Tribolium castaneum: one gene and its partner. The protein of the gene in region 1 interacts with the protein of each later gene in a pairwise test. Links are inferred from orthologs where the notes say so. Each region holds a gene or a part of one and is shown on either strand. Other genes may lie near its edges.

The links. The genes of interacting proteins can lie anywhere in the genome.
Region 2: the proteins of frtz (region 1) and in interact in binary tests that used the Drosophila melanogaster proteins (3 or more experiments, as listed by UniProt). The link is inferred for Tribolium castaneum from reciprocal best matches to the Drosophila melanogaster genes frtz and in.

What each region holds. Positions count from the first base shown.
Region 1 is NC_087402.1:1,546,393-1,551,841, reverse strand, and holds frtz (WD repeat-containing and planar cell polarity effector protein fritz), read left to right. Parts: upstream 1-2,091; 5' UTR 2,092-2,278; coding exon 2,279-2,361; intron 2,362-2,413; coding exon 2,414-2,549; intron 2,550-2,596; coding exon 2,597-4,507; 3' UTR 4,508-4,707; downstream 4,708-5,449. Other genes in the region: forkhead box protein N3, read left to right, coding at 1-144, 189-528. UniProt on the Drosophila melanogaster protein: Probable effector of the planar cell polarity signaling pathway which regulates the septin cytoskeleton in both ciliogenesis and collective cell movements. Functions cell autonomously to regulate wing cell hair polarity and number.
Region 2 is NC_087397.1:2,692,855-2,696,925, reverse strand, and holds the end of in (protein inturned), read left to right. Parts: intron 1-1,539; coding exon 1,540-1,950; intron 1,951-1,998; coding exon 1,999-2,268; intron 2,269-2,314; coding exon 2,315-2,566; 3' UTR 2,567-2,826; downstream 2,827-4,071. UniProt on the Drosophila melanogaster protein: Plays a role in the definition of cell polarity via the planar cell polarity (PCP) cascade. Acts downstream of fuz and accumulates asymmetrically in wing cells to regulate planar polarity in the wing. Probably acts by regulating ciliogenesis.

The DNA.
Region 1 (5,449 bases):
CGGGCCACGGTACCGCCAGAAGAAAGAAAAAGCGCTTTACTGTCAAGTCATCACGACTTCACCGAGCCAGGATCACACTTACAGTGCCGCCGATTCGGTCGATCCCTTAGGCACGGACGAAGCGTTCGAAAGCGACGACGAAAGGTAATTTTTTTTTCCGAAAATTGCAAAACATTAATTTCTTATAGGACGTTTAGGGTCGTCAAGAGTCGCACGTGTCGCAAAATCGACTTTGAGGACGAGGAGGAGCGCAAGATTAAAGAAGGCGCAGAGACGCTTCTGAATTTGGCTGGGATAACGACAAGGAAGAGGTTCAACTCGCAAAGTTCGGACTACGAACCGTACAAAAGAATAAAACTGTCGCCGCAGTACGACATCAATGATAACGAGGCAACCGAGCGACCGACGCCCTTCAAACCGCGCCTTTTGCGAGCGAAGAAAAAAGAAGGTAAATCAAAAATGTTGTGTAATAACAACGATGAGTGGGTCAGACACCGGCGCGAACTGGAAATCAACCAGCATAGGTAATCAAACGCCCGGTAATTAGATGAATATAACGTAATTTTAACTAAGTTGAATTCTTCTAACGCTGTTATTGTAATTTTAATATATTTTATGTTTTTGTTTACATTTATGAAATATGAAGAGTAACTATGTTAGGATTGTTTTAGAAGTGTTACTGACTGAAAATTTTGATTTATGACGGTTCCACGGCAATTTTATTTCTGTTGCCGACTTAATTTTTTTTCAAATACTCCAGAGCCCGAACTGTTGTAACATTTCGCGTCAGGTTGATCACCAAATATTAATTTATTCTAGGAGTAATTTCCGCAAGATTTTATCGCTGATTGAAATTTTATCTAAATGAATTAATTTTATCACTGTTACCAAAGTAGGCTAACTAATCATTAAGTGGGGAAGTAATTTATATGTATATTGATTTTAGCTAATTCTGTTGTTTTATTTATTTATTTCCATATTTAAGCTGTTGATTTGTCTTAGATGCTCCACCGCGCTGAAATTCGCTGTATTTATCCTGAGTTGGGGCATTTTGGTGTTTGATATCTGGTCATTTCATTGAAAAGCAATAAACGTGTATCAGTGATAGGGAATAAGAAAAAATCATCTAGAATTTTCCTATTGCTACAAGTTGAGTTTATAATCATTGAAAGTAGGGTAGAGTAAATATATTTTTTCTATTTCCCGTGATACATACTGCTCTTCCTATTGTACATAAAGATCCGAAACAATCATAAATGTTTCAAAATGTGTGTGCGTTTCAAAGCTATTTTCCTATTACTCTTATCATTCAATTTCTCCAACTTTTCAAAAAGAGTTTTATTGTATTTTTGGCCGTCTTCCGAAATTGAATGAATAAGTGCGATACTTGATTTTGTTAGTTTAGAATGTGAGAATTCTAAATATCTTATAGCAATACCAGTTTTGCCTGATCTAGTAAATAATACTCTATGCTTTGCCAATATTCTTGGCTTTGGTATGTATTTTTAAGGTTCTATGTGCCAAATCGTTTTGTACTTTTATTGCAGTAATCACTACTGGCAATATTTTTTGGCGCCTGTCTTCCAATTTTATAAAATAGGTCTTCTGACATACTTTCCATATTTACATTTTTAGTAGGTTAGACTTTCGTTCAAATGTGTTCCATTAACAAACTATTAGTGTGCTTTTGACTTTTTCCTTATTTTCAAACGAACTTAACACTTGTTTGCGCATATTTTATTTTATTATTGTTATGACCATTTATTTGTACCTTTAGTTTATTCAAATAAATAAAACGGCTGATTTTAACCCGTCTTTTTTACCCCAAAATCCCTCATAGGAGGTCTTTTCGGTTCTCTCCCCAAATTAGCGATATTCACAATAAATTTCGTTAATTTAACACCAATAATTTGAGGTTACCTGTCACTTTGACAGATTATAAATTAGTGCGTTAGCCAGGTGTGCTAACATAAAATGCAACGAAGTTTAATTGAATTTTTAAAATTTATGTTGCGTTTTCACGGTATGTTTCTTTGATAATCATAAGTAAAATTTAAATTACAATAGGGCCAAGCACACTTAATAATAAATAAATGTAGACTGAAACCACTTTGCTACTCTGATGTGATAAATCAAAATTCCCTGATTTGGGGAATTTACACATCGGTATTATTATTATTGTTCGAATTTTTTAATTTATGAATTAATGAAGTGATGAGACTCAAAAAGAAGCATTTATTTTGCAAAAGTGACTATTTAATCAAAAATCGGCCGTAAAATGTTGACCCTTTTGAGCGAAATCCATTTCTGGAGCACCCAAGAAGACGTCATCGTAAAACATCCAGATTTTGGATCATTCAAGTACCCAAACCCCTCACAACCCCATAAAGCGAACTAAAAACCCTTATTCCAGATACTACTCTAAGAAAGATCCCAGCGACTCCCTCTGCTACCAAAGCAAAAAAAAGTACTGCGACCAACGAGGTGTCATCTGGCACTTGCCCAACAAACGTCCCCAAAAACTCCGCGACCGTCTCAAAGAACTCGAGGTTAGCTCACACACTCACCCTTTCACTCTCACTCATTCTTTCAATAGGAGTATCTCCTCCACAACAAAATCGTCTGTTTCTCTTGGTCCGACAACCACCTCCAACTCCTGCTCTCAACTGGGGTGGTCGTCACCCTCACCATCGACATCACCACAGGCGACCTCACAAGCCTCACTTTCGACAAATCCCTCGCCACCAAACTCCAAGTCAACATATTATGCGACGGTGTTATCCTCGGCCCCCAAATCATCTGCATTTGTAATGACGGCCACGTGCTCGGCTTCGGGGGCTCCTGGAAAGACGGCTGGATTGTCGAAGGGGGCCCTCGACGCCACCTGAACTTCCACAACGACTGGCTTGCCGTTTGGGGCAAATGCGAGGCCGAACACCCGCAGCCTTGGAGCCCCCTTGGCAAGGACTACCAACGGGCTAATCTACACCTGTACTGGGTGGGCGTCCGGGGGCCTGAACTCTTAGCGTACAAAAAAACCGACGGGGATCCCATTGAAGTGATCGTCAGTCGGACAATACGCCGAACTTTGTTCGTAATCGAACAGAAGGTGACTCTCAGGGGGGCTGTCTCAGTCGAGTTGAGCAATTTTGAGCTGGTTGGGGCCAATTTGAAACGGGTTTCGGTCATTTCGGTCCCACTTCAGACACAAGTCAGTTGCTGTGCCTTAAATGAGCAGGAAACTAGGCTCCTGATTGGTTGTATTGATGGGTCTTTGGCGTTATTGGACCGTGTCAGGGGGTCAACTCGGACGGTTAAAGGGTTGTTTATACCAAAGTTCGCACGTTGGAATTCTCTGGGAGCTGTTGTGACCGTTTTGAATGAAAGGGGGCAATTGCAGTATTTTGACACGGCTTTGAACGGCGTTAAGTCACAAATAATGGGGGAGGATTGCACCCCAACAGCTTTAATTGACTTATCCGGTTATTTCAATTCGCAATTTACGATCAGTTCGGTGAGTTGGGGCCCAAAAGACTTAGTCGTGGTTTTGGAGCAAGGCCCCATGTTACTCATCACTCACATTGACCGGTCTTTATCGTTCAAATCTCTCTCACAACGTTACATAAAAATGGGTAAAATTGATAAAGCCATTCGGCTTCTCCTAAGCTGGGAATTCAACGAGGAAAGTTTCCACGTGTTGCAAAAAATCGTCGCTTATTTACTCTCCCAGCCAATGACCGACGACACCGCCAAGTATCTCCAGGACGCCCTCGGGTGCTTCCACAGCCCCCCGGTGCCCCTGAACCCCGAGACCCGTTCCCGCTTCTTCACCCAAATTTTCTCGCTCACTCGTCGCTTTTTCCACCAGTTAGTCCGCGCCCAAATGTTCGAAACCGCCTTCCTCTTGGCTGTGGACCTAGGGCACCATGACCTCTTCATGGACTTGCACTACATCGCGGTGCAAATCGGCGAGACGGAGATGGCGGCTGCCGCCCGCGCCCAGGCCTCGGCCCTCCTGAGTCGCTGCTCCAGCGAGGCCTCGAACTGCACCAGGTCCTCGTGCTCCCAATGTTCGGGAAGTAGTGACGAAAACCCCGATAATTACCTCACAACTAACTTCAATAACCCCCAACCGAAGACCTACCCGAGAGCCACTTTCGTGAAGGCGCCGCAAGTGCCGGCGAATTTTAAAGCGCCCCCGTTGCCCAATTTGGGGATTCCCAGAAATGTGTTTAAGCCGCCGCTGCCCTCAACGGGGGCGGTTAAGAAGGTGCCCCCGAAAGTTAAGTTTTCTGATACGGTGACGGCGTTTATCGTGCCGGAGATTAAGCGGCCAGCGAGGCCGCCGCCGCCACCACATTTCACCGATCCGCAGAAAGAGTTGGCTGATAGTTTGCCGCTTTGTCACCCAAATGAGGATTATTTGAAGGATTTTAACCCTGTGAGGAGGAGGGAGAGCGAGGAAGCGCAACCCAAAATCAAAGTGGTGCATTTTGGGGTTGTTTAATTCTTTTAGAATAATTGAAGACAGTTTCCGTCCGTTAGAAGTACAAATAAATTACCCAAGGAGCCCCAGATTGTATTAAAATATATTTAACATGTTTTATCTGTGGAGGAACGAAATTTGATATGTATATTTAATTAATGAGTAGATTTTTTATTTTTTATAACTTCGTATTTTCGCAAATAAATATTTTTATTACAACATTATTGCATTTGTTTTCAACACAACAGAAGGACGAACCACTAGATTACGTGTGTGAACGCCTGTTTAACACTCATTTTATTTGAAAAATGAGACACTTTTTTACTAATTATTACTGAATACGTAAGGGCAGACATAAACGACGTCAGTGCTATTTTTGTTGTAGAAATGAAAATAGGCACAAAAATGAACTTCTCGTGCCAAACATTTTGATAAAAAAGGGCGTTTAATCATTTATACAGGGTGTTGGAGTTGGCATTTTGTTCTATGTTATCATTTCGTATTCGTTTGAAACAGAATTTAAGTGAAATGACTAACCTTAACGCTCATCACGTCCTTTTCAAAAGCGGCTTCCAGCACTTCTAGAACTTTCGATTTTGGTCGTTTTGGCACTAAATACACAAAACACTGCTTCTACAACGCGCAAAAACAAAACGACGCTCTAACACAAGCGTCTTTCTGACGCATGTCGCATGATGTCAAGCTAACGAAATGTTATTGGCTGGTTTGACCGAACGCGGGCGATTTGAAATTTGTGGTGAAATCTCTCCATTAAAAAATTGAAAATTGCAAAGATTACATCAAACTAGAGTTTGTTTGATTGAAAAAATGGATTTGTTCTTGCCATTTATTGAGAAATAATTGTATAAATTTTAATAAAAAAATATTTTGGAGAAAATACGTATAAAACATAATGAATTAATGAATTAAATACTGTTCATTGTTTTATTTACCACAATTTGT
Region 2 (4,071 bases), on another chromosome or scaffold:
CCAAGTAAGTACTTTGTAAATTTTTTAGATTAATTTTTCACCAGAATAAAGGTGTAGCTACTACTTCTACTCGTATCTGTGGAGTGTACGTTACAACTTATTTTATTTTTATTTTATTTTATACGGCGTTTTGTTCCTTTCGAGAAGAATTTTTTTGTTTTTTTTATTTATAATTATTTATTTAATTCTCAAAAAATTTTGGTTTTGTTTCAAGCAATCCGAAACTGTCGCGCTTATTCTTGTACTCCTGCCTTGGTTTGGCGTTGTTTAAGATAGGGTTTAAATCATTTGTGCGGGTTCATTTCAAAATGAAACACTTTTTTTCACTCGGGGATTTTATTCAATATAAATATTGTAACAATATCGATAAATCGTCATTAACAAAAAACATAGGTATCGCAAAAGGCACAAAGTGAAGCATATTAATCAGTTAGGTAACGTATTAACAAAACTCATTAGTCACATCACTTTCCGTAACAAGTAGGTTTTTGGTAAGTCTTTGTATACTTGACGGACACCCGGAGGGTAGATGGTCTCATCTGATGCGGGGATGATCGGTTCCAAGGTTGATGCCACGTACCGAAAACAAAGAGTTATTATTAACATATTATTCTTAACTCGCACTTATAAAAATCTTAAATGCTACTTTAACGAAGATAATAAAGATTAAACAAAATATTGGTTTAATTGTAAGTATTTTTTGTTAGTTTTTTTCGCTGCGTGTTAAGAACTTTGTGGGGTTAATACTCTAAATACATTAAAAGCTCCTTTTTTTTCAAAATTAAACTTTTTTGTCTTGTTGTTGGTGAGTGTTGCAAGAGCATTTATGTAATAATACGCGCATTATTAACATAAATTCCCAAGCAAACTCATAGTTCCCTAACTTGACTCCCTGATAATTGCAACTAATCTTTTTCTCCCCACATATTTTATCAATCTCCTGAACGTCTTCCATTTATAGGGTGTACTTTTTCTCTGTTCTGAGGTTTTCTGAGAATTGTTTCGGGGCCCCGATCGTTATTTCAAGTTATTTCATATAATATTTTAGAAACACGGTTATTTTTTTTATTCAATTAAACACTCAAAATTTTAATGTAAATGTACTGTTAGGCACTCGAAAATAAACAACAAAATCTGAACAACGACGGGCTAAAGACACTGTGTAATAAATTAATGAATGAATTTTTGTTTCTGTGTAGTTGAATGCTGCAATACTATCTTGTTCAAATTTTAAGAAATTTTTAGAATTTGCTAGGATCGAAAGGCACCAAAATTAAACAAAATTTACAAAATTAAAAAGGGTACTTAAATTTTTTGTCCTCGGGGGCCTTCGGGGGTACCAACTCGGTTCACGCACTTCAACATTAGACTGGTTTCAACTTCTTCTCATATTTCTTCCAACCTGTCCACTTGTCGGCTTCAAAGTCACCAAAACTGCGTTCTGAAATTGGTCATTCTAGCACTGAAACAGTGGAAGAGAATTCTTACCATGCGTTCATTGGCTGGAGTCCTCCGGTTGTTTCGATTGTTCATTTTCAGGACCTCTTAGCTGTGATAATGGAAGCCGGCGGTTGCACAGAACCGGCTGAAGACAACATGGGCCCGGACGCTTTTTACGTGGAAGAGGCCCAAGCCACTTTGGCCCACATCCAAGAGCTGGGAATCCCCGAGCTTGCCGATCGGTGGATTTCGACAAATCCCGGGCCGCAGGTGACAATCCCCGAAACGTGCACCAAGCGCAAGTCGGATTTCTTGGACACTTTGAGCAAATCAGTGTCGCAACATAAGGAAGGCAGAAAACCGGAAGTGACTTCGATTTTGAAGCGGCGTAATTCGGACCAGAATGTTACGAATTCGAGCTCATTTTTCCTGGATGATCATTCGGATTCGGGGAGTCAGTGCGAGTCGAGGAGGAGTCGGTGCGATTCCGATGACTCGGATGATTACGGGGTGGGGGTGGCGTTTTTCTTCTGTTTTATTCGTGTTTGATGATTTCAGGATGGGAGTCAGATGAGCAACAGCAGCTTTGATATATCGGAGTTGAGGCAAACGATTTTGTCCGAAACTGGAGAGATACAGCCGAGACAATTGACGGCCGGGAAAGACAATGTTTTGTTCCATTTTATTCAGTTTGATGCAACTGAAGGCATCTTGATTGGTCCGCCTGAGTGTCGGCTCCAGTCGCAAACGATTGACGCGATTCTCGATTGTTTCAGAAACGCCTGTCATAAGTTTCATTCTTTGTTTCAAAATACGTTGCGATTCAAAGTATGCTTCAAGCGAGTTTAATTTTTTTTTAATGTCTTTTTTATAGAATATGCCAGCGCAAGACATGGCGAAATCAGTGATGAATAAGAGTTTGATTGCAATAAAAGAACATGGCGTTATGTTTGAATGTCCTTTTTTGGACGACATCGATAATAAGAAGAGTAACATAAAATACTGGGTCGTTGGAAGACTGTTTTATATGCCTCATCCAAGGGAGGTCTATGTCTGTTATCAGGAAAATATTCCACAAAATATCATCGAGTTGGCTTTTAAAATTGATTTAGACCTCGCGAAATGATTGGCTATGCTTCCCTCTTTCCTTTACTTTCCCTTAGTAAATTTTTTAAAACTCCTTTAATCTGGATGATGTGATGCTTCCTTTACACACACTAAACACATAATTTTAAAAATCCCGAACTCGAAAATTTATTTTACGTACTGATTAACTTTATCCGAACACTCCCGAGACAAAATAATTGAATTAAATTGCAAATATTTGTTGAAATAAAAACCTTGGCTTTCTTTTTAACTTAAAAAAATAAATTCAATTGAAACAAGTGATGGTAACTTCGTTTCTGTATCCCGTTTCCGCCGTTTCCGTTTCCGCTTTGTGAGTAGCTCTGCATCGAAATTTCGAAAACGGTGAAGATTTCGAAAATTTCGTGTAATTTAAAAATTAATTTTGAAAATATTGAAGGTCTCATGAATTTTTTTGAAAGGTATACAGAGGTACCCACGGTACTAGTGTCTCTGCTCTCTGTTTGCCTACAAGGGTTTCTGTTTCTGTATTCCGGTATCCGATTTCCATCCCATACTCATTTCAGAAAGCAATGCACAAATATGCAAATGAAAACTTAAGAAAGACCAAAATTTCTAATTAAAAAATATAATATTTTAGAAACACGGTTATTTTTTTTTTCAACTAAACACTCAAAATTTTAAAATTCACGCACTATCATAAAATATTAACTTCGTAATTTTTTCAAAACTTCTTTAATCTGGATGATGAGATGCTTCCTTTACACACACTAAACACATAATTTTAAAAATCCCGAACTCGAAAATTTTTCGTGCACTTTGAATGACTTTTCTTTCCTCTTTCCTTTACTTTCTCTTCGTAATTTCTTCAAAACTCCTTTAATCTGGATGATGAGATGCTTCCTTTACACACACTAAACACATAATTTTAAAAATCCCGAACTCGAAAATTTTTCATGCACTTTGAATAACTTTTCTTCCCTCTTTCCTTTACTTTCTCTTCGTAATTTCTTCAAAACTCCTTTAATCTGGATGATGAGATGCTTCCTTTACACACACTAAACACATAATTTTAAAAATCCCGAACTCGAAAATTTTTCGTGCACTTTGAATGACTTTTCTTTCCTCTTTCCTTTACTTTCTCTTCGTAATTTCTTCAAAACTCCTTTAATCTGGATGATGAGATGCTTCCTTTACACACACTAAACACATAATTTTAAAAATCCCGAACTCGAAAATTTTTCATGCGCTTTGAATGACTTTTCTTCCCTCTTTCCTTTACTTTCTCTTCGTAATTTCTTCAAAACTTCTTTAATCTGGATGATGAGATGCTTCCTTTACACACACTAAACACATAATTTTAAAAATCCCGAACTCGAAAATTTTTCATGCACTTTGAATGACTTTTCTTTCCTTTTTCCTTTACTTTCTCTTCGTAATTTCTTCAAAACTCCTTTAATCTGGATGATGAGATGCTTCCTTTACACACACTAAACACATAATTTTAAAAATCCCGAACTCGAAAATTTTTCATGCACTTTGAAT